Canis lupus familiaris: one gene and its partners. The protein of the gene in region 3 interacts with the protein of the main gene of each other region in a biochemical or structural test. Links are inferred from orthologs where the notes say so. Each region holds a gene or a part of one and is shown on either strand. Other genes may lie near its edges.

Region 1 (3,914 bases), on a different chromosome or scaffold from region 3:
TAGAGTCTTTCCTCTCCCCAGCCCCCATCTCCCCTTCAAAAGAAATCCTGGTATTTACAAGCGAGTCCGCCTTGCTGGCACAGTGTACCCAGAGTGAAGTTTGCGAGCTTTAAGAGTCCAGAGCCGTATCCTCGTAGAGCCCTCTCCAAACTGCACCCTGCCTGAGCGAGGGAAACCCATTTCAATCACCTAAAAGACACCCCCAGAAGCTGTTTTTGTTATGTCCTTCTCTGTTTAAAGACTCCTTAAAGAGTTGGATTCACTTGGTTGCTTTTGTTTTCTTTTTAAAAAAAATTCCCACAAATTTTAGAAAAAAAAAAAAAAAAAAAAGACGTCCAGCAGTTTGGCTTTTGTGATTTTTTTTTTCCCCCTTGGTCTAAACGGGACAGATTCTTAAGAAAAGTCGAAGCGCAGGGAGCGGCGAGTGGTGGGTGACGTGTGGCCGGCAGGAGGGAAAGCGATGAGGCAGCGCGCTGGGCCCGGCCCGGCCCGGTGTCCTCTCACCAGGTCCGACCATATAGCAAGGTGGAGCAGGACATGGTGCCATAGTCCGAGCCCGAGGAGTTCAGGTGGGACAGGCTGGAGACCTGGCCCTGGAGCGCCGCGGGGCTGGCGGCGTGGTGCGCCAGGTCCGGAGACTGGCCCGCGCTGCCCGGCTGGTGGCCCGGGTGTGCCCCCAGGCCGGGGCCCCCGCTGCCCACCGAGATAGCCGCGGCGGCCGCCTGGGCAGCCTGCGCCTGCTGCTGCGCCTGCTGCTGCGCGTGGCCTTGAAGGCTGCCGGCCCCCGGCGCGGGGGCGCCCGCCTGGCAGGGTTTGCCGTCTTTCACCAGCACCGGCACGGCCACGCGGCGCGGCGACTGCTGCTGCGCCTGCTGCTGCTGCGGGCACCCGGCGCCCCCGCCGCCGCCGCCGCCGCCGCTGTCCTGCTGCAGTTGCTGCTGCGCCGCCTTGTCCTTGGCTTGGCGCTTCATCTTGTAGCGGTGGTTCTGGAACCAGATTTTGACCTGCGTGGGCGTCAGGTGGATCATGCTGGCCAGGTGCTCCCGCTCCGGCGCCGACAGGTACTTCTGTTGCTTGAAGCGTCGCTCCAGCTCGTACACCTGCGCCTGGGAGAAGAGCACCCGGCGCTTCCGGCGCGGTGCGCTTGGCAGCGGGGCCATGTTCTTGCTCACGTCCCCCAGCGAGCCCAGGCCGCCCATGCCGCTCATGTTCATGCCGCTCGCCGGGCCCATGAAGCGGGAGACTGTAAGCGACAAACGCACAGCGTCGGCGGGGGCCGGGCCGGGCCGGGCCACCTCTGCCTTCCGCGCCCTTGGCCGGCCCGGCCCCCGCCGACGGCGCCCTCCTCACCTGGGCCGCCGCGGCCGGGAGCGGCCTACGCACCGCAGACGGCGCCTGCCCCGGGCCGCGCCGTCGAGGGAGTTACTGGCGGGCTCCCCGCCTGCACCCCGACTGCCTCCCTCCATCTCAGCGCTCCAGCCTGCCGGCCAAGGAGAGGGGCCGCTTCTGATCCTTTCTTGCCCAACCCTGGCCAGAGTCGTTGGGCTAGCGGGCCCCGAGCGGCGAACTGGGCCCAGACCAAGAGCCGGGGTCCCACGGTAGACCCCGACTTTTGGAGTTCGGGAGAGTGGGGTGTTCACTTTCAAAGCCTAGAGCCGCCGACGCTTTGCCTCCTGGCCGCTCTCTCCTGTCAGCCCCAGGGAGGGCACTTGTGCCGCCTACTTGGAGCCCCCTCTGAAGCCGCGCACCCTGGCACCTGCCTAGGCTGCAGAGCCGGCCGGGCGGTCCCCGAGCGTGTCTCAGTGGGGCAGCCTCCCGTCCGGCCAGGCCCGCCTCTCGGCTCCCTGCTAGCCCCCGGCTCCCTTAGGCTTGGGGGGGGCGGGCGGGAGGGCGATCCCCCGGCTCCCCGAGGTCTCCTGCGCGGAGCGGAGCCGAGCTGCCAGTCGGCCGCATGGGGAGACGCGGATACTAGCACCTGCCCGCAAGACCCCAAGAGTCCCGCCTGGGACCCCTCAGGCCAGCAGCGGGGGGAACCCCAGCTCCCGCCCCTGCTCCCTGGCGCGGCTGCCGGGCCGCCCGCCGGGACGCCCAGTGCGCAGCCGGAGGCGCGGCGCCCTCGGGGCTGCTCTCCCGGCGCCTCCCGCCCCCAGCCCGCGGCCCGGCGGTGGGGCGGCCTCACTTACTGGCGGGGAAGCGCGGGTCTGGGTTGGCGCCGTACCATCCGGGGCCCGAGGCGCTGTTCCGCATGGTGTCCTGGTAGGGCGGCAGCTCGCTCATGTTGCCCAGGTTGCCGTTGCAGTAGCCCCCCACGGCGGAGTGCGAGAGCTGGGGCACCCCCGCCGCCGTCATGTGGTAGGCGGCGGTGACGGCGCCGTGGTGCCCCACGGCGTGCTGCTGCATGGCCGCGGCCGGCGGAGCCGCCTGGCCCTGCCTGTACGCCGCCAGCGGAGCCCCGAGGCCGCCGCCCTCCATGCCCACTTTCTTGTAGCTTTCCTCCAGGGGACTCAAGATGTCAGACACTGAGAACGGAGTCGTGTGCTTTGGACTCATCGACATGATTCGGCGGCGGCTGGAGGAGGAAGGAAGAGGAGGAAAAAAAAGGGAGAGGGGGAAGGCGAAGCCTCGCTGCTTTTTTTTTCTCCCTTTGCCAAATATTCTGGTGTTACCTTAACGCCGATCTTGTTGGATGTACACGTAACCGAGTGGACCGAGTCCGCCTTAATTGGCTTGAGTGGAGGCTCGGGGGCTGCCTCGCGTTTGTTTTAGCCCGGCGCCAGGTTTTAGGCAGCCACCAGAGGCGGGGCGTAAGCGCTAAAGCAACAAGACAATAGAAGCCTACATCTTGCCCGAGATAATTAGCTTACATGCTGATGACAAGGTAAACACCTTTAAGTTTCACTTGTCAGGATTTTTAAGTCTCAAAAAGGGAGAGAGAGAGAGAGAGAGAGAGAGAGAGAGAGGCAGAGACGCGACCCAAAGCATTTCTTTTCCCCCTCCCCCGGACACCCCCACCCCATTTTTTGTGGGGTGCGGGCGGCGCGCAGGGGGTGGGGGGAGACGGGGGAGGGAAAGGAGGAGGGAACCCAGGGAGGGGAGGGCAAGAGGTGGGGTGAGGAGTAGCCGAGGAGGAGGGATGGTGGGGAGGAAGGAAGGTGAATGCTGCTTTGCAACCAACTTTCCGAGTTACAAAGTGAACCACTTTCCAGTGCAGCCGGGGATCCCGGGCGGGGACAAGTCTTTAGAGGGAGGGGGCCAAGGGACGGGGTAGGGGTTTCACCTGAGCCTGCCGGGGCTGCTCCTCCCTCCCGCCGCGGCCTCCCAGCCCCGCGCCTTCCCACTGCCTCCGGACCACATCGGGCTTCGAGGCGCCGAGCCCCAGTCGCCACCAAACGAGCTCGCGAGTCTGGGGACGAACCCTGGGGCCGCACTGTTGGTCTGCGGGTCTGTCCGTCTGTCTGCCTCTTCTGCCGCCGTCAGAGGGACACCTCTGCTCCCCGCCCCCTTTCCCCCTACCCGAGAGAGAATCCCAGCGGGCGGAGGGGACGCTGAGCAAGGGATCGGCTGCCTCCGAGAGGCTGTCCCAGATCCCCGCGTCCCCCTCCCCCCACCTCAGGGTCTTCTCAGCGGTCCAGGGCCCCCTGCATCACGCCCCCCCCCCCACCCCACACGCGGTTCCCTTTCCCCACCCCCATTCCCGGCCAAGGCAAGCACGCTACTGGCCTCCAGTGCTGGGAAGCTGGGGTGGGGGCTGGGGGGCACTAACCCAGGGCCATTGCTGAAATTGCCCCACCTCGAACAAACCTGGTGTCCCCGACCCTCGCCCATCGCCCGGACACGCGGGGTTCTGGGGCTGGAGCTGACTTTCCGAGGACATCACAGCCCCAGCACCCGAGCCCAGAGCCACGCTGTTTTCC
Region 2 (3,423 bases), on a different chromosome or scaffold from region 3:
TTTTTTTAAGATTTTATTTATTCATGAGAGATACAGGGAGAGGCAGAGACCCAGGCAGAGGGAAAAGCAGGCTCCCTGTGGGGAGCCCAATCCCAGGACCCCAGGATCACGACCTGAGCCAAATCCACACTGAGCCACCCAGGCATCCCAGTTTGAACTTTTCATTTCTTCCATCATCAGGACATTTGAATGTTCTGGGTCTCTTGGTGTATGTTTTTATCTGTTTGCGATATTCTGAGGGCAGGGGGTAGTATCACAAATTTTTAGAAGGGAAACAAAGATTTTCAGTTTCCTACGCTGAGTAGCAGTGTACTTCTGATAGCTATTAATCTGCCCTGTGAAAAGGAGATAAAAATGGTAATTAATGTCTTAGAAGATCATTATCATTAAATGAGATAATCCACACAGAGGGCTTAGCACATAGTAATTGCTTGATATATGGTATTTATCTGTAATTTTTTAAGTATCCTAAATTTTTTTCTTGTAATTTCAGGGTAAAATGTAGACTACTGTGTCGATCCATGGGGCAAAAATCTTTGACTTACTGGAAATAAACTGAACTGTCATTTTCACAGGGAAGTGTCTGTTCATGTCAGGCCTGAGTGAGGTCCAGCTGAACCATATGGATGATCACACTTTACCAGGAAAGTATGGTATTGGATTTACCAATATGGTGGAAAGGACAACACCAGGCAGCAAAGATCTTTCCAGGTAATTACATTTATTTTTATAGGTTGGAACCTGATCATGCCGATGCCTCATATACTCTAAGAATGCTAAATGTACCTATTTGAGGCTGAGCTTAACAAATACATGAATAGATCTTTTATTCAAAGCTATCTGAATTTAGCGTATTAATATTGCCATACTTATATTTTGACTACTTTTTAATTCAATTTTAGTAAAGAATTTCGTGAAGGAGGACGTATTCTAGTGCAGAAATTACAGAAATATCAGCCACGAATAGCAGTGTTTAATGGAAAATGTAAGATTTACTTTTAAATTTTATCTTTTTTATTTGCTAACATTATGGGCAATGTAAGTATGTTTGTATTTCATTTTAGGTATTTATGAAATTTTTAGTAAAGAAGTTTTTGGAGTTAAGGTTAAAAACTTAGAATTTGGACTTCAACCCCATAAGATCCCAGACACAGAAACCGTAAGTACTTAAAGTGATTCTTGTAACAATCAGCTAAATACGAATTTTTTTTCTAGCTAGTTTCCCTTTTTTATTTGTCCTATCCATTGTAATTCATGCCATTCTAAAAACACTGTATTTTGTTTAGTAATAGTTACATGTCAACTGAAACTAATTGTTGCAAATTAATTCAGGAACTATTTTAAAAAATAAACTTTTTTTTTGGTTAAAATGTCTTACTGATGTTATTTGGCTAAACTACTGGGAGGAGTTGAAAATAAATTTAATGGCATATTTTTATTAGCAAATTCAGGTAGGTTAGTCCTTTTTCAGTATGAAACAAACATGTAAATATAGACATGCTCCTGATGAGTAAAACTGCTCATTACCCTCTGCTGGTGTATCTTAGCCCAATTTCATTCTAGAGCTGTATGAATAGTATGCAGCTCGGTTGCAGACAGACATCCAGCTAGCCTGACTGGCACCCGGTACTGTTTACTGGTGCCGCCGTGTCCACAAAGGCGTCGTGAATAACAGTGGGTTTCAAACTGTCATTTCTGCAGAGCTTCTGCAGACATTAGGTTTAAATTTGCTTCTTAATGTAGTTTTGTTTACAACTTTTTAAAAAACAACATACATGCACAGACCCATGTGTTCTAGACAACATTTTAAATAATGGAGAAGCCCATGTGCTGACAGGGTTTTGTGGAGAGCTCAGAATAAAGTTTCTGTCATCTCCATACATTTGAACTTCTCCTTTTTAAATTTCTTCTAAGTAAATATATGCTTGATAAAGTAAGTGGTCTTTCTTAAAACCGAGGCCTAGGGATCCCTGGATGGCTCAGCGCTTTAGTGCCTGCCTTCGGCCCAGGGTGTGATCCTGGAGTCCCGGGATCGAGTACCACATCAGGCTCCCTGCATGGAGCCTGCTTCTCCCTCTGCCTGTGTCTTTGCTGCCCCCCTTTCTCTAATGAATAAATAAATAAAATCTTTAAAAAATAATAATAATAATAATAATAAAACCGAGGCCTACACTTGTCTACTTTGGTAAAGTTGGTGCAGCTGAGTTCATTGCCTTCTATAGATACTGCTTTATTGTCCCGTAGGAGCCAGATGAGGCTTGGCTACACGCCTTGAATGTAGGTGACCATAATAGTGCAGTACTAAGTATTGGATAATATCATGACAGGTAGTGTTAGCTCCTATAGTGACCTTGGGAGTGCTGTGTGTTTTAGTTTATTCTTTGTTATGAAATATTTGCAGTTACTGATGATGTTAGTGATTCAGCTTTGAAACAAAATTTTTTTTCAAATTTCTGCATCATTTTAATTGAAGAATGTCTTGGGATGGGAAAATGAGTAATTACAAAACCTGGTAGTATTTATACCTACATATCTTTAGGAGTCAGGAGTTTCTAAATGCTTTATAAACAAACGAAAAAGTTTGTTTTATGGAATGTTATGGAGGACAATATAAAAATTGCAAGAAATTGCAACTAGAAGTTCCATAATCGAGCAGCCTCAGTCTTTGATATGTATGTGATATATAGTATTATATATTTTCTGTTCTATGAAGGACAGTTTGTCACCATTATCCCAAATAATAAATGCAAATGTCTTTCTCCTTAGCTATTTGACAGAATTCTCTCTGATAATGCTTTTGAGTCAAAAAGCAGGAATGTAGAACAGGAAATAGAGAGCATGTGACCATTCGTGTGTATTTAAAAAGGGTGTGGGAGAGTACATATGTGAGATACATTTGGTCGTATATTCATAGAATACATCCGGAGCCAGCAACTGTGATTGCCCTGGGAAGAGAACTGGTAGAGACAGAACTGGGAGGGAAGATTCTCAGTGTATATACCTCTTTGCCTTCTAGCACCTTTAGAATTGTGAACCATGTGTTTACTATTAAAAAGACAAGATGATTGGTAAATGAACATGAGGGGGAAGCCTCTTCATTTTTTATTTATTGACTTTGTAGTAAGTAAATTTTACGAATTTGAGCTCAGACACAATTACTTGTATTGATTTGCATATATTAATGTGTGATGAGCATCATTTTTAACCAAAAAATGTATGAGTTTTTTAATCTCTATGTGAGTGGATTCAGTAGACTTGGAAGATTTATGTAACTGTAAAATTTTATGATTCCAGCTCTGCTATGTTATGCCATCATCCAGTGCAAGATGTGCTCAGTTTCCTCGGGCCCAGGACAAAGTTCATTACTACATTAAGCTGAAAGACTTAAGAGATCAATTGAAAGGCATTGAACGAAATACAGAT
Region 3 (4,237 bases):
GGGAGGTCGCACCCACCACCTCCCGTGCAGGTGAGGCCGTCGCGCAGGCAGCCCCGACGCATCGGGCTGGGGGAACAGGGCATCTTGCGTCCCCCGCACTCCAGTTGGGGGGGGGGGGCTCGAGTCCCGATCCTGCCCCCTCCTGCCTCAGTTTCCCCCTCTGCACACACTCGCGGACGGTCTGCAACCTGCGGGAGCCCCGATGCGTCGCTGGCAACCGGTGAGGGGAGGCGGCCAGGCCCGGTCAACCGGGAGACGGTCGCGGGCAGGGACGCGAGGAACCGGGGACCGGGCAGAGTCGCCCAGCGGGACGGGCGGGCCCGGCCGGCGCCGACTCCACGCCCGGGGGCCCCGCTCGCCGCCAGGCCGCAGCCCTGGCCCTAGCCGCCCAGCGGCCAGCAGAACAAAAGTGGCTGCCGCGCGGGGCGCGGGGCGTCCCACAGGCGCGGCCGCTGCGCCGCCGGGGCAGCCCCGCCGCCCCACGCACGCCGGCCGCGCCTTCGGCCCCTTCCGCCCGAGCGCGCTCGGCTCTTTCCGCCGCGAACGGCGCAGGTGGAGGGGGCGGGGCGGGGGCCGTGCGTGGTGACGCCGCGGGGGGGGTGACGCACCGGCGTGCCCCGCCCCCTCCCCCTCCCCGTTCAGGCTCTGGAAAGAGAAGAAAAAAAACTTTCTTTTTTTTTTAATTGAGGAATCAACAGCCGCCATCTTGTCGCGGACCCGACCGGGGCTTCGAGCGCGATCTACTCGGCCCCCGCCGGTCCCGGGCCCCACAACCGCCCGCGCACCCCCGCTCCGCCCGGCCGGCCCGCTCCGCCCGGCCCTCGGTGCCCGCTCCGGCGGCCCCGCTCGCCTCTCGGCTCGGCCTCCCGGAGCCGCGGCGGCGGCGGCGGCGGCGGCAGGCGGCGGCGGCGGCGGCGGCGGCGGCGGAACGGGGGGTGGGGGGGGCCGCGGCGGCGGCGGCGGCGGCCCCGCTTCGCGCATTGTTTTTCCTCACGGCGGCGGCGGCGGCGGCGGGCCGCGGGCGGGGAGCGGAGCCCGGAGCCCCCCGGTCGTCGGGCCGCGAGCGAATTAATTAAGTGGGGCGCGGGGGGGGGGGGGGAGCGAGGCGGCGGCGCGGCGGCGGCGGCGGCACCATGTTCCCGGGGACTGCCTGAGCCGCCCGGCCGGGCGCCGTCGCTGCCAGCCGGGCCCGGGGGGGCGGCCGGGCCGCCGGGGCGCCCCCGCCGCGGAGTGTCGCGCTCGGGAGGCGGGCAGGGGATGAGGGGGCCGCGGCCGGCGGCGGCGGCGGCGGCGGCCGGGGGCGGGCGGTGAGCGCTGCGGGGCGCTGTTGCTGTGGCTGAGATTTGGCCGCCGCCTCCCCCACCCGGCCTGCGCCCTCCCTCTCCCTCGGCGCTCGCTCGCGGCTCGCGCTCGCTGCTCTCCCCTCGCAGCCGGCCGGGGCCGGCGCCGACCCCCGCCCCGGAGCTCTTGCCGGCCCGGCCGCCCGCGCTCGGGGCTGTTTCCGCGAGCAGGTGAAAATGGCCGAGAACTTGCTGGACGGACCGCCCAACCCCAAACGAGCCAAACTCAGCTCGCCCGGCTTCTCGGCGAATGACAGCACAGGTGAGGAGGGGGGGCCCGGGCGGGGGGCGGGGGCCCAGCCCGCAGGTTAGCGCCGGGGGGACCCGCCCCGAGGCGCCAGCCCGCGCGGCCGCTGCCCGGGGCCCCGCCGGCCCGGGCCGAGGGGGAAGTTTGTGGCCGGACGGCGCCGGGGCCCCGAGCGGGGGGCCAGCCCCGGAGTTGGGGAGCCCTCCGCGCGCGGAAGGCGAGCGGTACCTGCGGGGAGCACAAGGGGAGCGGAGCGCGCCGGGCTTCGTGGCGGTTCCGCGCGCCTCCCTGTGCGGCCGTGCGTCGGCTCACGCGGGGCTGCCTGGAGGGCTGACAGCGGAGGGTGGGCTTCCCGGTGACGGAGGGGAAAAGTGCAGCGAAGCGGGGGTGGGGGTGGGGGGACGACCCAAAGTCTTTTCTGAGCTGGTAGCACGATTCGCAGCGCTGCGATCCGGATCAGGACACACGCTCCACACACACAGCTCGCTCGTAGCAGCAGCCGACCTGGGAGTTGGGACTTTGGAAGTTTCTTGGGATGCGGTCCTTGGGAAGATGCTTTTCGCAGTTTGTCTTGAAAAAACTCTGGTTGTTGGGTCTACCCAAGGCCGTTCCGTTTGCACCAGCCCCAACTCGGTTAGCAAGATGTCATCCAAGTTGCTGTGCTGTGTTTAACTTCAGAGGCATGACCTTAAAAGAAAGTTTAGGTACAGCAGATCCTTTCGGGCTACATCCTCCGGCTTGAGTTGGTGGGGCTTTTACACTGTGGGTGTATTAAAGAAAATTATGTTAAGGAATGTAGGAATCGCAGGTCCCACCCACCACCACCACCCCCTCCAAAAAAAAATTTTTTTTTTTTTTTAGCCAGGTATTAAATGAAGCGTTCTTTCAAACAGCATCCATGAAAACTTTGTGAAGTAATCCCATCAGTTGCCTAAGTATTTTAGTTTCTATTCGTTTAATAACTCTGGGCTCTTCTGAGCTGGTTCACGGTAGCATTATGATCGAGTTGTATTTCCTCTTTCAGACCTCTCCTTTGCAGTAAAAACTTGTGCACCGCTGCGAACAGTTCTGTCTCCAGCGCAGCCTGCATTTCTCCAGTACGGTCTTGGTAGTAGCAGCATCTGAAAATCAGTTTATAATGAATGGGTCCAAATTGAATTATATTGCTGCAGCGATGCCTTCAGATTTGCAGTAGACACAGCTGTTCAGCTTGTGCAAATATTTCTGTGGCCACTGGCATATTTCTACTAATGGTCTAAAAAAATCTGTTTCTCCTGTTGAAACAAAACTACTTGGGTTTTGTGGCTTCGGTTTTAATACAATTTCAAGGATAGTAATGTAGGTGTGAGAGAAAGGATATTTTAAAATATCATGAGATTCTTATCTAGTTTAAATACAATTTGTTAAACGGTGGGGGGGGAGTAAATAAGTCTCATGGGGCAAAAAGTCACTAATACTTTTTTGTAATTGATAGAGTGGAGTGTGATGTTTATTTTGTCAAATCAGCTTGTCTGAAGTAAGAAATGTGGAAACAGCCATGACTTAGATGCCCTTTTACTATAGAACAGATCTCTTTTGCTTCATTAATCTTGCTATGTTTGAGTGAAAAGTCTTTAATCATATGAAACATAGATCATACCAGGCAAGTTCAGCTTTGAAGTTTGTCTTCTGAAACTGGTAACTTTTTGAATGGCTTTGCAGCTTTGCTCTTGTCAAATGAGGCTATTGCAGATTGTGTTTTCTATAGAGGGATAAATTACTAACACAAGACTTAACAGAAAGGGTTTTCCGAATATATACATTCAGCTGTTAACAAGGTGGAGCCTAGAGAATGGCCTTTTTGGGTAGTTCTGTTAATGGATGGTCAGATATTTACTTGATGCGCTGCTAAATCACAACAAATTTTTTCGGAAAGGATTTTTCCCTCTTGGCTACTTTTTCTCCCCTTTCTTTTCCAACGTTGATCCTCCTAAAGCATGAGGGCTCACTCTTTTCCAAATGGGGAACACAAATTTTTAATAGCTCTGATTTAAATAATAAAATTCATGATTATACTTATGTCAAGTCACCTTGGTTACGTTTTCATCACGTCACATTATTGGCCAGAGTCTATCAGTGCGGGGGCCAAGGAAGGATCGTCATCGAGCAAATTAAAGGAGGTACAACCTTGTCTTCTGTAACCAGTAGTCTGAGACAGAGATCCTAAGGATATATATTGAACAAATAAAGGACTCTAGGAATCACATTACGTCCAATCAAAGGAGTGAAGGCATTGGGGTAGGTGGGAAAGTAGGGAGAGACTCAACCTCGTTTAAGTGAGGGGATGTGTTTTTGAGGCTCCTGGAAGAAAAATGGAGCCAGGTGGAGCAAAGCGCGTTTTCTTTTTCCGTGATAATAGAATTTGAAGGGAGTTCTGTACATGGGAAGAGCTGAGAGGTTAGGAGGAGCAGGAGGCAGCCTGGTGGCCTGAGAAACGAGGGATTTGGACTGCTACCATGCAGCACATGTCTGTAGGGACTGGCCTGGGGAGCCATCGTGTCCGTTGCGTGAGTCTAAGGGACTGACATTGGGTGGAGAGAATAGTACTCCTGACATTGGGTAGCTAGCTCACAAGCCAGGGTGCTCCCCGCAGGGCACTTGCAGTCTAGTA
Region 4 (3,500 bases), on a different chromosome or scaffold from region 3:
CCCGCAGGGCCCGGCGGCGCGGTGCGGCGTGTGCGGGGACGGCTCCGATGTGCTGCGGTGCACGCACTGCGCCGCCGCCTTCCACTGGCGCTGCCACTTCCCCGGGGGCGCCCCCCGGCCAGGGTGAGTGCGGCGGCGGGGAGGGGGGCACAGGGCCGGCAGGGGTCACCGCGGGCCGCCAGCCCGACCCCCTCCTCCGCTGTGCACAGGGCCCCTCGCTGCCGCTCCTGCTCCGGGGACGCGGGCCCGGCCCCCGGCGACGGGGCGCCCGCCTCGACCCCTGCCCGTGCTGCGCCGGGGCCTGCCAAGGTCAGTGCTGCCCGGGGAGGTGGGGACCCCGGGGGCTGGAGCGGCCGGCACACCTCCAGGGACGCTCCCGTGCCAGCTTCGCGGGGGTGAACATGCCCCGGGCCGTGGGTTGTGTGTGTAAATAGCCGCCTTCGAGATAACGTCTACCTGGAAGGGAGAGCCAGCTACAAGCATTGGTGGCATGAGATGGCAGTGGGATGCACCTGTTCCCTGGTGACCCGGCCCCGCCCTCAGTGCCCCCTCTCCCAGCCCCTGGGGTGCACCTGCCCCTGGAGGGGTGGCGGCGAGAAGGCGCCCAGCAGGGATGAGCAAGCGCGCGTGACGCCCAGTGTGACCCCACCTGGGCTCCTGGTCCTCCAGCAGTGACCGCCCGGGAGCCAGCGGGAGCCCCTGGGGACAGCTGGCTCGCTGCGGTCTTTGTCTGCCTTCCTGCTGAGTGGCAGTCCTCCTGGGGCTCCCTCAGAACTTGGGGGGTGGGAGTCCTGTGTGTCCCTTCAGGAGCCTCCGGGTGGCACCCTCTTCCCCAGGCCTTCCCGACCGGGTCCCTGCCCCCAGAAGAACCTCTGAGGCCCTGGGGGAGGCAAGGAGTCCCACCCCCATCCGTGGCCCATCCTCCTTCCCAGCCACACGGCACCCCCCAGCGCTCTGAGCAGGAACCCGGCTTGGGGGGGGCCAAGGCCCTGCCCATGAGGGGGCTCACCGGCAACCCCAAGGCTTGGCCCGCACCTGCCTGCTGCAGCGTGGAAGCCTCCCATCACCCCGCCCCTCCGCACTGCCCGTGCTCAAGCCCTCTCAGGGGGACCCCTGCTCCCCCACCAGGAGGGGTCCTTCCCTCCAGAAGACGCTTCTTCACGGACACCTGGGCTCTTTGCTCTTAAACGCAGACTCCTTTCTTGTCCTTGAGGTGGAGCGCGCAGTGACCTTGGAGAGGAGCACATGCCAGCCCCTCAGCCCCTCCCGCAGCCCCACTCCCTACGGGAGAATGTGGGTGTGGCCCCATCCCTTCCTGGGTGCCCTGCACACCCCGAGGCTGTGCTCCTCCCTCACTGCCTGGGTGCTGTGGCCTCCCAGGGCCTGTGTTTATGAGCTGAGACTCGGCTCTTTCGTGCCAGTCTCCTGTGGCTCATGCCCTGCTCTGGCCCCCTCCCCAGGGGCGCCGTGGGCCCTGGCAGCCTTTGTGGGGTGGTTGAGTGGCTGGCATCGGACCAGGGACTTCCCTCTCGGGGCCTGTTTCTCCACCCATGACAGGCTCCCTTCGAGCTGGTTCTCTGAGTTGCCCGGCTCTCCCCGGAAGGCTGCGTGTAGCAGGTGGAGGCTGGCGGGCCTGGGGGCCTCGGGCAACCAGCTGCCAGCGGTGCCAGGGCCCTTGCGGGCAGCCCACACTCGCTCATGTGCACCCTGCCTGTGCCCAGCACCCTGGGAGGAGTGCCACCGCACTGCCCTGGCATGAGCGCCTGTGCCCCAGGCCCCTGTGGCCTCTGCAGGGAGTCCTGCTCTGTTTCGGGGTTCCCTAGCAGGGGTGCTGAGATTGGGCTGACCCTCCTCTCCTGGGCTCCAGGCAGGTGACGGCTCCTCTGGGCACGAGCCGGTTCTACACAGAGACGACCTGGAGTCCCTCCTAAACGAGGTAATGCACCTCCAGGCTGGGCCTCCGCCTGCACCTCCTCCTCTACAACCCCCTAAAGGCTCTGGGGGGCTGGGAGGTGCCCCCCCACCCCAGCTGTGCCAAGCACCACAGGCCAGGCTGCTTCAGACGCATGCAGGAGCCCGAGCACACCAAGGGGCCTAGAGGGGCCTAGAGGGGACCCTAGAGGGGATCCGGTTCCGAGGGCCTGGATCCTGGGGGGCTGGGGGGCTGCACAACCTCGGGGCAGGGCGGGCGGGTGCCCCGGACCTCTCACTGCCCTCATCAACCCAGGCTCTTCTCCCTTCGGTGAACAGCTACACTGGCTGGGAAGGAACTGGGGCTTTCAGGGGTTCCATCTCTCTTCGACGGGAGGTCAGACTCCTCCAGCCATCCCCACACCCAGGAGGCTGACACGTGGTGTCCGCGGGCCGTGGGGCCCCTCCCTGTGTGCTGGGCTGGGCACAGGAGGGTCCGAGACAGTGCGGGGATTTTGGGGGGGACCCCAGGTGCTGGGTGAGGGCCCTGGAGCTGTGGCGGGGGCGGCCGCCCAAGACCGTTGGAGAAAGGGGGGGAAGACTCCCCAGCCCCCTCGGGGGTGCAGGCACCCCATCCTGCTGGAATATGGGGCCTCCTCGTGACTCCCCCATCCTGTGGGGTGCCAGGGCCCTGAGCACAGTGAGGGCAGGAGCTGGCCCTGCCTCGCAGCCCTGGGGCGAGGAGGCCGTGCCCTGTGCCCCCGGGATGCTGTGATGGAGCACTGCGTGAGGAGTCCATGTCTTGCGGTGCCTCAGGCCTCAGTTTCCCTACCTCTGAAAAGGAGGGTCAGATGCTTATGACTCCCGCCGGCCCCGGCGGCCAGGGCGTGCCCAGTGTGCCCTGGAGCCTTGGCAGGTGCGAGGCTCCGCTCTGCTGTCTTGCAGCACTCCTTCGACGGCATCCTGCAGTGGGCCATCCAGAGCATGTCCCGGCCGCTGGCCGAGGCGCCCCCCTTCCCCTCCTGAGCCAGGAGGCCGGGGGTCTGCGGGGCAGCGCTAGGGGAGGGGAGGCCCCCCAGATGCCGCCTCAGCCGAGAGAGAGCGGACCCCCTCCTGCCTCGGGATCCACGGATGCCGGTGCGTTCCCGCTCGTGCTCACGGTGACCTGCTGCGGGAGGGGCCGGGGGACACACTCCCCCCCCCACTGGGACCTGGCCAGGTTAGGACCCAGGAAACCTGGAAGGTCCGGGTGGCGTCCACGCTCAGCTCGTCGGCACGGCCCGTGCTCGTGGACACACTAGGCATCGCGTGTCCTCAAATAAAAAGCTCCTCCTGTGGGGTCTCGACATGCTGTCCTGTGGGGTGTGTTTGCTCAGGCGGCTCTGGGCTCCCCCGCATTTCTGGTGCCTGAAGGGTAGGCCGCGCCGGCGGGAAGGGAGCTCGCCGTAACGGGAGGGCCCAGCCTGGGTCCCCCCCTTACACTCAGGCTCCTCCTCCTGGGGACTTGAGCCCCTGAGGCCCTGACCCCCTCCATCCGACCACGCCGTGGGCCACACAGCTTCGTGGGCTCCCCGGCCAGGCGGCACAGC
Region 5 (4,164 bases), on a different chromosome or scaffold from region 3:
GGGTCCTCGGGCGGGCTGCGGCGGCGGCGGCCGGAGCGCCTCTCGGTGGCCGGGGTTGCGCGCCCCCTCCTCGCCGCGCCCCGGGCCCGCGCGGAGTCGTGCGTCCTCCCCCCTCGTCCCTGAAGGGAAGCAACCGAGGTAGGCGCCGGAGCTGTGCAGCGGGGCGGTCGCCTTCCCGGTGACTCCGGATCTGCTTCCGAGCCGGGCCAGGCGCTTCCCTTTTCCCTCCCCGTGACTCGGTGTGCGCGCCCCCCTTTCCCTCCCGCTGCTGTTTTTAAAGGACTTGAGTGAAGGGGGGAAAACTGTCAAGATGGCAGCAGCGGGAGCAAGGAGGTGATGAACGTGCGGGTCCGGGTTTTCTGGCAGCCCGGGAGACTTGGCGCTTCCTGACCTGTTGGAAGATTTACGTTCCGACTCGCCCCCTCCCCCTGCCCTTTCCCGGGAAGGGGGGTGGGTGGGGGGGTGCGGGGTCCAACGCCCGCCCGCAAACCGAAGCACACAAAACCCCAAAGTGGTCGTTCCCGCTTGGCTCGACCCTTTGCAAACACCCGCCGAGCTGCTTGCCCCCCGCCCCGCCCCGCCCCTACCCCCACCCCCGATCCTCCCCTCCTCGCTTCCCGTCTGGTCTTTTTTTTTTTTTTTTCTTTTCTGGAAGTGACAAGAGCCCGTCCGCGCCCGGACCCACGTTCGTCCTCCTGGCCCCGCGCCGCCCCCCGGAGCCCGGGCCCCTGGCCCCTGGGCGCGGAGAGCGGAGTCCACGGGGGCGCGGGGGCGGCGGGCGCGGGGCGCGGGGCGCGGGGCGGAGCGGAAGGCGCCGCGGGAAGCACCCGCGCGGGGCCCGAGCGAAACATAAACAAACGCACGCCCGCCCCGGCTCCGACCGCGGCTCGGCTGCGCCAGCCCCGGCCGCTGCCCGCTTTAAAGGCGCGGCCCGCGCCCCTCCCCCGCCCCGCCCCTCCCCCTCCTCCCCGCCCCGCCACCTCGCCCGGGAGAGACCTGCCGAGCCGGCGGCCCCGCGCGAGCGCGTCCATTCGCTCCCGGCTCCCCGCGGCCTGGCAGGGGGCGGTGTCTGCTGCGCCAGGTCCGCGGGACGCACGTCTCCAGGTCTGCCTGTCTCCGGGAGGCGGCGGCGGCGGCGGCGGCGGCGGCGGCGGGCGCGGGGTGGCCGAGGGCTGGGCTGCCGCGCGGGTAACCAACTCTCTCCTCCGTGCTTCCCCAGGCGGCGGCAGGAGCGGCAGCGGCTCCCGGGAGCCCGAGCCTCCGCGGCGCCCCCGGGCCTCCCCCGCCGCACCCCGCCCCGGCGCGAGAGCGGAGCGCGAGAGCCCGAGAGCCCGAGAGCCCGAGAGCCCGAGCCGCGGGCGGGCGGGCGGGCGGGGAAGATGGCAGAGGCGCCGGCCTCCCCGGGCCCGCTCTCCCCGCTCGAAGTGGAGCTGGACCCCGAGTTCGAGCCCCAGAGCCGGCCGCGCTCCTGTACGTGGCCCCTGCAGAGGCCGGAGCTGCAGGGGAGCCCGGCCAAGCCCTCGGGGGAGACGGCCGCCGACTCGATGATCCCCGAAGAGGACGACGACGACGACGACGAGGACGGCGGTAGGGCCGGCTCGGCCATGGCGCTCGGCGGCGGCGGGGGCGGCGCGCTGGGCTCCGGGCTGCTCCTCGAAGACGCGGCCCGGCTGCGGGCTCCCGGGGGGCAGGACCCCGGGGCCGCGCCGGGCCCCGCGGCGGGCGCGCCGAGCGGGGGGACCCAGGCGCCGCCGCAGCCTCCGCAGGCGCTGGCCCCGCCGCAGCCGGGGGCGGCCGGGGGCTCGGGGCAGCCGAGGAAGTGCTCGTCGCGGCGCAACGCCTGGGGCAACCTGTCCTACGCCGACCTCATCACTCGCGCCATCGAGAGCTCGCCCGACAAACGGCTCACTCTGTCCCAGATCTACGAGTGGATGGTGCGCTGCGTGCCCTACTTCAAGGATAAGGGCGACAGCAACAGCTCGGCGGGGTGGAAGGTGCGTACCCACCCCGGGCGGGCGGCCGGACCCGCCGGGCCTCCTGCGCAGGGCGACGCGCGCCTGCATCCCGCGGAGCGCGCCCGCGGGCGCCGGGAGAGGGGTTGGCAGCGAGCGCCTCCGCTGTGAGGTTTCGGGGGAACCCGTGCGACCCCCCTCCCCTCCCCTCCCCTCCCCTCCCCTCCCCGGAGGAGGGGAACCTGGGGTCGGCCGCGGAGGGTGGGGCGGGAAAGGAGGCGCCCCCCCACCCCGGGGAGGCCTCGGGCATGGCCAGGTGAGGAGGAGGAGGAGGAGGAGGAGGAGGAGGAGGAGAGGGGGCAAGGGATGCCGGCGAGGGAAGGACCGGCGGACGGCAGAGCCTTTGCTGGATCCCCGGGACGGCACGGAGGAGGTAGGTCTGCGGCCAACTTCGAAGCAGGAATCACCGTCGTGGGGATGCGGGGAAGGCCCCGCGGGTGCAGTGAGAGGACGTGGGGGAGTGCTTGGGGCTCCTCCGGGGAAGGGGATGGATTTGTGCTTTGCAGTGCATGGTCGTCGTCGTTAGAGCTGCATGAGAAAAAAAAAACCCCTTGCGTCGAAGTTTCTGGCTTGTGGGTGTTGGTTCCCGCAGGCACAGCGATCCCATTAAAAAAAGCAGTGGTTGCAAACCTTTTTTTTTTTTTTTTTTTTTTTCCCCTGGCTGCCTTTCTTTTTCTTTCTTTCTTTTGGTTGCCTGTGTGGACACCTTTACTCCTTAGAGATGTTTCTGCAGTAAATCTGTCCCCCCCCCCCCGCCCCCCAACTTGGGATGTTTCGAGTCCCGGAGCGGGCCAGCCCTGCCACCTGAAGGACTGGCCACACCTGCTGCTCCCGCCGAGGCCTGGACTCCGGCGCTGTTTGAGGCCCGGTCCAGGTGTGGAGGGCTGAGGCCTGGAGCTTCACCTAGGCCTTTGGGAGGGAGGTGTGGTGGCGGGGCTGGGTCATAATGGCTTCTGCCTATAAATGAGCCAGAAGAGAGGCTCTCTACTGTTCCTTTTCAGCCTCTCGGGGCACTGGACACGTGGTAGGAGAGAGGTGTGGAAAGGCCTATGATGTAATGACTTCCTGCAGTTGGGCATCCAAACAGATTAACTCCTGTGCCCCTGCTGGGCTGCTGATACCCAGCTGCTTTGCTCTTCCTGGCACCTCATCCTCCTGGCCTCTTTCCCCAAGACGTGAATGTGTCAGTACCAGGCAGAAGGGTGCTTGCAGTTGGAGATACATATGGCTTATCAGTTGCTTCTCTTTGCAAGTTAGCTTTTTTTTTTTTTAATTAATGAGGTAGTTCCTTCCTCATTTTGTCCTTTCCTTACTGTCTTTGGGGAGCCCTGTATCTTCTTGGGTTCCAGTAGGTGTATTCAGTAAGAATAGTTTAATCTTGGTGGAGCACTGGAGAGGAACCTATATGTGAAAAAACTAAAGAATTTTGTGTATTGTCTTCATTTCCTTAAAAAAAAAAAACCCAAAACAAAACCCTTACAAAGTATCTGTTTTTTTTTTTTTTTAATTTCATATTGGCTAGTATTGGAGAGGACTTGCTGAGATACTTTAAAAGCAAAACTGTGCTTTAAAATTATTCCACATATCTGTCCCCTTTCCTTTAACAAATGCTGACATTATGAATCTTACATTTGCTCTAATTTTACAGCTTTGCAAAGGAATGCCAGTTGTGTGATATGAGGGCCATTTACAGAAAGCTTGAGAGTGAATAGCATTTCGAGGAAGTGCTACTGTGATATCTTTTAAAACAGAGTTTCAAAGTGAATAGCAAGGGTTAATCTCAAGGTACAGCATCAGAAAGGGGGGAGTTGCAGGATCTAAGAAAATGGATATAGGGGTTTGGAATATTTTTCAAATTTCTCAGCTTGAAATTAGTCCTGTATATTTTGAGTTTGCTGCAGAGAACTGCTAGTTAAAAGTTAGCTAACTTTTAACTTATAAAGTTAATGTTGGAAGGGTTTTCACTTTCCCTCTGATTTTTAAGTGTATGCGAGTAGTTCATAATCTTGCAAATAACATCTCTTGTTATTGTATTTAGAGTTAAATAACTTTTTTCTTTAACATCTAGGTGAGAAAGTAGTATTATCAAAAGTCGCCTTGAAACGTAACTCAGTTATATTTTCATGTAGCTTGCAGGACTTCCAGTAGAGAT
Region 6 (4,173 bases), on a different chromosome or scaffold from region 3:
GTAGCCAGACCTTAAATCTTCCCTAGTTTGAAGGCTTCTAAGTTTCAGAGCCAACAATTAAGTTTCCAGCCACACAAAAGACAATGTCCAGAAATGGTTTTGAAAAGCATGGGCTTACTAGGGGAACTGATCCAAAAGGAAAAGGGAGTGCTTTGGATGGGGGAAACACAAATCTGTGGAGGGAAAGAAAGGTTAGGGAAAGCACCAGGTTTCTGAGAATTCTGGAAGTAGAGACCTGGGCTCATTTGCATATAGCACCCCCAAGATGAGGAGACTGTTGTGGGAGACTGTCCACTATATGCCCTGGCCTGGAGAGCAGTGGTAATGCTCTTTCTGAGCAAGTCTGGAATGATCCATTGTGAAGAGTCCAACAGCGGCAGGGGGATTAACACTCGCATCAGTAGAAGGAGCCATCCTAGTGGTATAAGTAACCATCACGGATTAAGGACCTGACCTCTTCCTCACTTTTTTTGCGGAAGAAAACACTAAAGTCAGCAGAAAGCAGCACTGTATAAGGAGCTAAAATGCTTCGTCTTCGTCTTTTAAGACGACTTCTCAGACCAACAATGGCTCACCTTTTAGAGCCTACTATATTGGAAATCATGGGATAGGACTTCTGAGGTTCCTGCTCCCATCGGGCGCCCTTTTCCTCGCTAGACTTCAGGCCTCCAATCTAAACCTTCCCTCTTCGTTCGAGTCCCTGGCCCGTCCTTCCTCAGTTTCTCCCTGCAAGCGTCCCTTCCCCAACTCCACCTCGCATCCCCGAAGCAGACTCTTTCAGTCGTCCCTTCTTCTCTCCTAGTTCCCCCGAGTCCTGTACCTCCCCCCCCCCCCCCCCCCCCCGGTTCAGGCAGTCGCTCTCCTCTCTTCCGACCCAGACCGCCCTCCAGCGACCCCCCGCGCCGGACTCTGTTCCTTTCTACACTTCAGGGACCCCCTCTACCCACCCCATATCCACCCCACTTCACTCCCACCCGGAACCCCACTGGGCGCAGCCCCCCTCCGCCGCTCAGCCGTTGGCGGGGGCGTGGCCCCGCGAGTAACAGGTCTCCCGCCCCACACTCCGCGGGCCCGCGCGCAGACAAAGACATTCCACAGCCCCCGCCCCTTCGCGCACCCGGCCAGAGGGGGAGGAGACACGTGTCCCGCTAGCGCCGAGTCACGTGGAAGAGAAAACGAACGAAGCCCGCGGCCACTCGCGCACGCGCACAAGACTCTGGCCTGGCGGGCTCGGAGGGAAAAGGGGAGCGGGGAGGCGACTTCTTCGGGCTCCGCGGCGGTGCGCAGGCGCCGTGGCCCGACTGGAGACTTTGTTCTCCGCGGAGAGACCCAAGGGCGGTGCCGGTGGCTGGCTGCGCACGCGCGCCGCCTCATTTCCGGTGCTCTCTTTCGCTGGGTCGCTCGGGTCGGCTTCGGTCGCTGTCGCTCCCGCTCTCCCACCCCCGCCAACCGCCGCTCGGGCCTCTGCCGCTGCCGCGTCGCTTCCTCGATCCCTCGATCGCACATCCGCCCCGATGCAGCGCCGGGACGACCCCGCCGCGCGCATGAGCCGGTCCTCGGGCCGCAGCGGCTCCATGGACCCCTCGGGTGCCCACCCCTCCGTGCGTCAGGCGCCGTCTCGGCAGCCGCCGCTGCCTCACCGGTCGCGGGGAGGCGGAGGGGGATCCCGGGGGGGCGCCCGGGCCTCGCCCGCCACGCAGCCACCACCGCTGCTGCCGCCCTCGGCCACGGGCCCCGACGCGACGGTGGGCGGTCCGGCGCCGACCCCGCTGCTGCCCCCCTCAGCCACTGCCTCCGTCAAGATGGAGCCGGAGAACAAGTACCTGCCCGAACTCATGGCCGAGAAGGACTCGCTCGACCCGTCCTTCACTCACGCCATGCAGCTACTGACGGCAGGTAAGCGGGCCTCCCCGGTCCCTCTGGGTCGTCTGGCCCCCCGGGGGCATGGGTAGCAGTGGCTTTGTTCCGCCTGCCTTCCGCCCCCTCGGGGCCGAGGCCATCGTGAACTCCCCTCCTCTCCTCCTCATCCCGGGAGCCTGGATTCCACGCTCCCATCCCGGCCCTCGGTGCGAGGGAGAATTCTGAGGCTGCAGTGGAGGCCCAGAGGGGACTTGGTGATCTCTTAGCGCAAAGGTCTTGATGGATAGCGCTGCGCTCCCCGCCCCTTTGCCGACCCTTCCCCCTCCCACCTTTTGCAGCTGCCCTGCGCTCTGAGTATTCAGATCCTTCCAGAAGCGAACCTTTTATCTCCCCCTACCCCCAAAGGGAAAGCCTTCTTCATTGCAGGTGGCGGTAGACGCCTCTACTGAGGGTGTAGGGGGTGAAGACAGCCGGAGCGGGGAGGGACCGTGGGAGGGAGGGCCGGGGTGAAATGGGGTGAGGCTGGAGTGCCCTGTCCAGCGCGCCGCGTTCTCTGGGGCCGGGTCGGACTTAGCGGTAACAGGAGCTTAAGTTGCTCGGAGGCAGGAGCAACCTGTGGGAATCGGATCTTGAGGCTTTCCGAACCAGACTTCCGACTTGGGCCGATAAAATGATCATTGCTATGGACCCCTTTATTTTATAAGGTGGTGTTCATCATAAGGGTAAGAATAGCCCTAGAGACAGTGAAATGGAATCGGAGTAGGTAAAGGTTGGTTTGCAGGACATTCCTCACTCAATAAGATGGACAAAAATTGAGGGAAGTTGCAAGATGCTTGTACCTGAAAGGCTTGGTCTTCCTGTTTTATTTCTTTTTGCTTCAATAGTGAAATAGATTCTGAAAAGTAGTCTTTGTTCTGTGCCAGTAGACTAACGCTCCTTTCCTGCCCTAACTGGCTAATCACCTAGTCTAAAGCCGTCTGTTTTGCCCCCACTTACAGTTTAAACGTTGTTTTAATAAGTTATTTCTTATATGACCTGAATTTTATAAGCAAGTAAAAAGTTGCAACCTTCAACTCTAAATGAGTAGTTGGACTCTTTGGCAAGGTTGATATAATGGACTGATCGATATTTCGTTTCCCTCCCCTTTGTTCTCTATCTCCTTACATTGGTAAGGGGTCTTCGTTTTTTTAAAGCAATAAACAAATCTCGCTGTGGTAAAAAAATAAGAACATTTGGATAAATCGCTTACATTTTCAATTGGGTGTTTTGCTGTTCTGTAACACAGTCAGATTGTTTGAAACATTACTGTTCATTGTGTTCTTCTGGCAGTCGTTTTGAAGGCCAGGATGTTTTTTTTAATCTTTATATTTTTCATGTTGTCTTGCAATATAGCAAACACCAGGTGTTTGAAAGCAACTACATGCAGACTTAAGAATGTCAAGCTAAATGCTAAAGGTTGACTTGGTAGTCTAATTTTTATTTCCTTTAATCTTTAAGCAGTCCAGGTTAAATGAGTGAGAATAACAAACTTTAGAACTTAAAGGTGTTGGCTTGGGTTTGAAATTCTGACCCTTAATTAAACTTCTTGGGAAGTTTTCTGAACCTCGGTAACCTTATCTGGAAAATGGGATGATGAGAGAATTAAGTGTCATGTAAAAGCACTGGCGCCATTCCCTTTGGCCATAATAATAAAGATAATAATTTGTCACCACAGTTTTCTAATAGTTGTAAATCCGTGGTACTGAGTAAAGTATGAAAACAAGGTATTTTTTGCCTTTCTGACCACACCAAGTGCCTAGTACAGTGTTTTCTTTTAAGTAAAAGGTGATTTTTTAGGATAACCATCAAAAACTGTTGATCCTTGAGGACACCTGGGTGGCTCAGTGATTGAGCATCTGCCTTTGGCTCAGGTTGTGATCCCAGGGTCCTGCAATGGAGTCCCACATCAGGCTCCCCACAGGGAGCCTGCTTTTCCTTCTGCCTATGTTTCTGTCTCTCTCTGTGTTTCTCATGAATAAATAAGTAAAATCTTAAAAAAAAACAAAACTGTTGATCCTAAAAAGTTATTTACAGGGGTGCCTGACTGGCTCAGTCGGTAGAGCATGTGATTTTTGATCTTGGGGTTGTATGTAAGTTGGAGCCCACCTTGGATGTAAAGATTACTGAAAAAAAAATCTTTTTTAGAAAAGTTACTTAAAATTTTCACTGTTCTCTCACTGCTTAAATTCTGTTACAAGAGAGTATTTAATATTTTTTAACTTGGGTTTTGTTTTTTTTTTTAATTTTAATCAAGTTATTTTCTTTTCTTTTTTT
Region 7 (3,500 bases), on a different chromosome or scaffold from region 3:
GCCACAGTCTCAACAGCAGCAGCAGCAGCAGCAGCAGCAGCAACAGATGATGATGATGCTCATGATGCAGCAAGACCCCAAATCAGTTAGGCTTCCAGTCTCCCAAAATGTCCACCCCCCACGAGGCCCCCTGAACCCAGACTCCCAGAGAATGCCCATGCAGCAGAGTGGCAATGTGCCTGTCATGGTCAGTTTACAAGGACCTGCTTCCGTGCCACCATCACCTGATAAACAAAGAATGCCAATGCCTTTGAATACTCCTTTGGGAAGCAATTCAAGGAAAATGGTATACCAGGAGAATCCCCAGAATCCTTCTAGCTCACCACTGGGAGAGATGTCCTCACTCCCTGAAGCGAGTGGCAGTGAAGTACCATCTGTCTCAGGAGGCCCAAACAACATGCCTTCACATTTAGTAGTTTCCCAGAATCAGTTAATGATGACAGGGCCAAAACCCGGACCATCGCCCCTTTCAGCAACTCAAGGTGCAACTCCCCAGCAACCCCCTGTAAATTCCTTGCCCAGCTCCCATGGCCACCATTTTCCAAATGTGGCTGCTCCAACCCAAACATCTAGGCCTAAAACACCAAACAGAGCCAGCCCCAGGCCCTACTATCCTCAGACACCCAACAATCGCCCTCCCAGCACAGAACCTTCAGAGATCAGTCTATCACCAGAAAGACTCAATGCCTCCATAGCAGGACTCTTTCCCCCACAGATTAATATTCCTTTACCTCCTAGGCCAAATTTAAACAGGGGCTTTGATCAGCAGGGCCTGAACCCAACAACTTTAAAGGCCATTGGGCAAGCACCTTCAAATCTTACCATGAATAATCCTTCCAATTTTGCTGCCCCACAAACTCACAAATTAGATTCTGTGGTGGTGAATTCTGGAAAGCAGTCTAATTCTGGAGCAACAAAACGGGCTAGCCCAAGCAACAGTCGCAGGTCTAGTCCTGGGTCCAGTAGGAAAACCACCCCAAGTCCTGGGAGACAGAATTCAAAAACCCCTAAACTTACTCTGGCCTCTCAGACAAACACAACCCTGTTGCAAAACGTGGAGTTGCCAAGAAACGTATTGGTCAGTCCCACTCCTTTGGCCAATCCCTCTGTACCTGGGAGCTTTCCTAACAACAGTGGGCTGAATCCTCAGAATCCTACCATGCCTGTGGCTGCAGTGGGGGGTGTTCTCGAGGATAACAAGGAGAGCTTGAATGTGCCTCAGGACAGCGATTGCCAGAATTCCCAGGGTAGGAAGGAGCAGGTAAACATTGAGCTCAAAACAGTCCCTACCCAAGAAGTTAAAATGGTTGTCCCTGAAGATCAGTCTAAAAAGGATGGGCAACCTATGGATCCTAACAAACTTCCCAGTGTTGAAGAGAACAAAAATTTGGTGTCTCCTGCTATGAGGGAAGCACCGACATCATTAAGTCAACTTCTTGACAACTCTGGAGCTCCTAACGTGACCATTAAACCCCCTGGGCTTACAGATCTGGAAGTAACACCCCCAGTAGTTTCTGGGGAGGACCTGAAAAAAGCATCTGTCATTCCCACACTGCAGGATCCGTCTTCTAAAGAACCCTCTAATTCCCTAAATTTACCTCACACTAATGAGCCGTGTTCAACCCTTATGCATCCAGAATTGAGTGAGGTCAGTTCTAATGTTGCACCAAGCATCCCTCCAGTAATGTCAAGACCTGTCAGCTCTTCCTCCATCTCCACCCCCTTGCCCCCAAATCAGATAACTGTTTTTGTAACTTCCAATCCTATCACAACTTCAGCTAACACATCAGCAGCTCTGCCAACTCACCTGCAGTCTGCACTGATGTCAACAGTTGTCACAATGCCCAATGTGGGTAGCAAGGTTATGGTTTCTGAGGGACAGTCAGCTGCTCAGTCTAATGCCCGGCCTCAGTTCATTACACCTGTCTTTATCAATTCATCCTCAATAATTCAGGTTATGAAAGGATCACAGCCAAGTACAATTCCTGCAGCCCCACTGACAACCAACTCTGGCTTGATGCCTCCCTCTGTTGCAGTTGTTGGCCCTTTACACATACCTCAGAACATAAAGTTTTCTTCTGCTCCTGTACCGCCTAATGTCCCCTCCAGTAGTACTGCTCCAAATATACAGACTGGTCGACCCTTAGTCCTTAACTCACGAGCCACCCCTGTTCAGCTTCCTTCCCCTCCTTGTACAACTTCTCCAGTTGTCCCTCCTCATCCCCCTGTCCAGCAAGTGAAAGAATTGAATCCAGATGAGGCTAGTCCTCAGGTGAGCACCTCAGCAGATCAGAGCACTCTGCCCTCTTCACAGTCAACCACAATGGTTTCTCCCCTTTTGACCAATAGTCCAGGCTCCTCTGTCAACCGGCGAAGCCCAGTCTCATCTAGTAAGGGCAAAGGAAAAGTGGACAAAATCGGCCAGATTTTGCTGACCAAGGCATGTAAGAAAGTTACAGGCTCTCTTGAGAAAGGGGAAGAGCAATATGGTGCAGATGGAGAGACCGAAGGCCAAGGGCTAGAGACTACAACTCCAGGGCTCATGGGAACAGAGCAGTTACCCACAGAGCTGGACAGTAAAACCCCAACACCCCCAGCACCCACTCTGCTAAAAATGACCTCTAGCCCTGTGGGCCCAGGCTCCACCTCAACAGGACCCAGCTTACCTGGCGGTACTCTCCCCACCAGTGTACGCTCGATAGTAACCACTCTGGTACCCTCTGAGCTCATCTCCGCTGCGCCGGCCACAAAAAACAATCATGTTGGCATAGCACCTGAGCCACTTGTGGGTGGCCTAGTGGAGGAGAAGGTGGGATCCCATCCAGAGCTTCTGCCCAGCATAGGTATGTACTTGGGGCCTGGCATCATCTCCTCGTGTCAGTTTTTTGATGACCTATTCCACAAAAGAAAGCCTTTTTTTTCTTTTCTACTTGGAGGAGGAAAAGTGAGCTAAATAGCAATAGTGGTAGTTTAATTTATTGGAAGTACATTGGGAAATACAACTTTAAAGCCTATGTTAAGTTTACATTCATTAATACGGTTCTCTCTCAGCTCCTGAAGTGATAGGCCTTTCATTTATATAAAGTTTTTCATTTTACAAAAAAGCATCTTTATATATGTTATCTCGTGTCATCTTCATACCAACTACGTCAGGTAGCCCTAACCCCATTCTGTGGGTGAGAAGATTGCAGCTCAGAGTTCAGTATTTTCACAGTCTATACTGTGAACCTCCAGTTTAACATTGTCCCTTAAAGGTGAATAGCTGTTTTTGCAAGTTCCCCTTACTGCAATATTGACTTGTTCTCCACAGTTTCAGAGCAGGGTTCTCATGGCCCCTTCTCATTGTACTCTATCAGAAGGGACTATTCCCTTCTGACTGGCTACTCCAGAGGAAAGCTTTTCAAAAACCCAGGTCTCATGGTAATAGACACAAGAGACACAAAGTGGTTGAGAGACAGGCAGGCTTGAGTTAACATCACAGCACCAGCATCTACCAGCTC

What was found.
Region 1: the proteins of CREBBP (region 3) and NKX2-1 form a complex in vitro, tested with the Homo sapiens proteins (2 studies listed by BioGRID, with this or other methods). The link is inferred for Canis lupus familiaris from reciprocal best matches to the Homo sapiens genes CREBBP and NKX2-1.
Region 2: the proteins of CREBBP (region 3) and TDG form a complex in vitro, tested with the Homo sapiens proteins (2 studies listed by BioGRID, with this or other methods). The link is inferred for Canis lupus familiaris from reciprocal best matches to the Homo sapiens genes CREBBP and TDG.
Region 4: the proteins of CREBBP (region 3) and AIRE interact in far-western blotting, tested with the Homo sapiens proteins (2 studies listed by BioGRID). The link is inferred for Canis lupus familiaris from reciprocal best matches to the Homo sapiens genes CREBBP and AIRE.
Region 5: the proteins of CREBBP (region 3) and FOXO3 are reported together in a solved structure, tested with the Homo sapiens proteins (2 studies listed by BioGRID, with this or other methods). The link is inferred for Canis lupus familiaris from reciprocal best matches to the Homo sapiens genes CREBBP and FOXO3.
Region 6: the proteins of CREBBP (region 3) and KHDRBS1 form a complex in vitro, tested with the Homo sapiens proteins (2 studies listed by BioGRID, with this or other methods). The link is inferred for Canis lupus familiaris from reciprocal best matches to the Homo sapiens genes CREBBP and KHDRBS1.
Region 7: the proteins of CREBBP (region 3) and NCOA6 form a complex in vitro, tested with the Homo sapiens proteins (2 studies listed by BioGRID). The link is inferred for Canis lupus familiaris from reciprocal best matches to the Homo sapiens genes CREBBP and NCOA6.

What each region holds. Positions count from the first base shown.
Region 1 is NC_049229.1:15,253,118-15,257,031, forward strand, and holds NKX2-1 (thyroid transcription factor 1), read right to left. Parts: upstream 2,557-3,914; coding exon 2,184-2,556; intron 1,244-2,183; coding exon 501-1,243; downstream 1-500. UniProt on the Homo sapiens protein: Transcription factor that binds and activates the promoter of thyroid specific genes such as thyroglobulin, thyroperoxidase, and thyrotropin receptor. Crucial in the maintenance of the thyroid differentiation phenotype.
Region 2 is NC_049236.1:42,804,401-42,807,823, forward strand, and holds part of TDG (G/T mismatch-specific thymine DNA glycosylase), read left to right. Parts: intron 1-575; coding exon 576-711; intron 712-902; coding exon 903-985; intron 986-1,064; coding exon 1,065-1,159; intron 1,160-3,065; exon of another isoform or gene 3,066-3,294; coding exon 3,295-3,423. UniProt on the Homo sapiens protein: DNA glycosylase that plays a key role in active DNA demethylation: specifically recognizes and binds 5-formylcytosine (5fC) and 5-carboxylcytosine (5caC) in the context of CpG sites and mediates their excision through base-excision repair (BER) to install an unmethylated cytosine.
Region 3 is NC_049227.1:37,710,934-37,715,170, forward strand, and holds the start of CREBBP (CREB-binding protein), read left to right. Parts: upstream 1-1,437; 5' UTR 1,438-1,517; coding exon 1,518-1,602; intron 1,603-4,237. UniProt on the Homo sapiens protein: Acetylates histones, giving a specific tag for transcriptional activation. Mediates acetylation of histone H3 at 'Lys-18' and 'Lys-27' (H3K18ac and H3K27ac, respectively).
Region 4 is NC_049252.1:38,039,229-38,042,728, forward strand, and holds part of AIRE (autoimmune regulator), read left to right. Parts: intron 1-7; coding exon 8-123; intron 124-209; coding exon 210-309; intron 310-1,867; coding exon 1,868-1,936; intron 1,937-2,856; coding exon 2,857-2,937; 3' UTR 2,938-3,500. UniProt on the Homo sapiens protein: Transcription factor playing an essential role to promote self-tolerance in the thymus by regulating the expression of a wide array of self-antigens that have the commonality of being tissue-restricted in their expression pattern in the periphery, called tissue restricted antigens (TRA).
Region 5 is NC_049233.1:65,900,859-65,905,022, forward strand, and holds the start of FOXO3 (forkhead box protein O3), read left to right. Parts: upstream 1-1,364; 5' UTR 1,365-1,379; coding exon 1,380-1,994; intron 1,995-4,164. UniProt on the Homo sapiens protein: Transcriptional activator that recognizes and binds to the DNA sequence 5'-[AG]TAAA[TC]A-3' and regulates different processes, such as apoptosis and autophagy.
Region 6 is NC_049223.1:68,543,617-68,547,789, reverse strand, and holds the start of KHDRBS1 (KH domain-containing, RNA-binding, signal transduction-associated protein 1), read left to right. Parts: upstream 1-1,373; 5' UTR 1,374-1,514; coding exon 1,515-1,896; intron 1,897-4,173. UniProt on the Homo sapiens protein: Recruited and tyrosine phosphorylated by several receptor systems, for example the T-cell, leptin and insulin receptors. Once phosphorylated, functions as an adapter protein in signal transduction cascades by binding to SH2 and SH3 domain-containing proteins.
Region 7 is NC_049245.1:24,333,059-24,336,558, reverse strand, and holds part of NCOA6 (nuclear receptor coactivator 6), read left to right. Parts: coding exon 1-2,843; intron 2,844-3,500. UniProt on the Homo sapiens protein: Nuclear receptor coactivator that directly binds nuclear receptors and stimulates the transcriptional activities in a hormone-dependent fashion. Coactivates expression in an agonist- and AF2-dependent manner.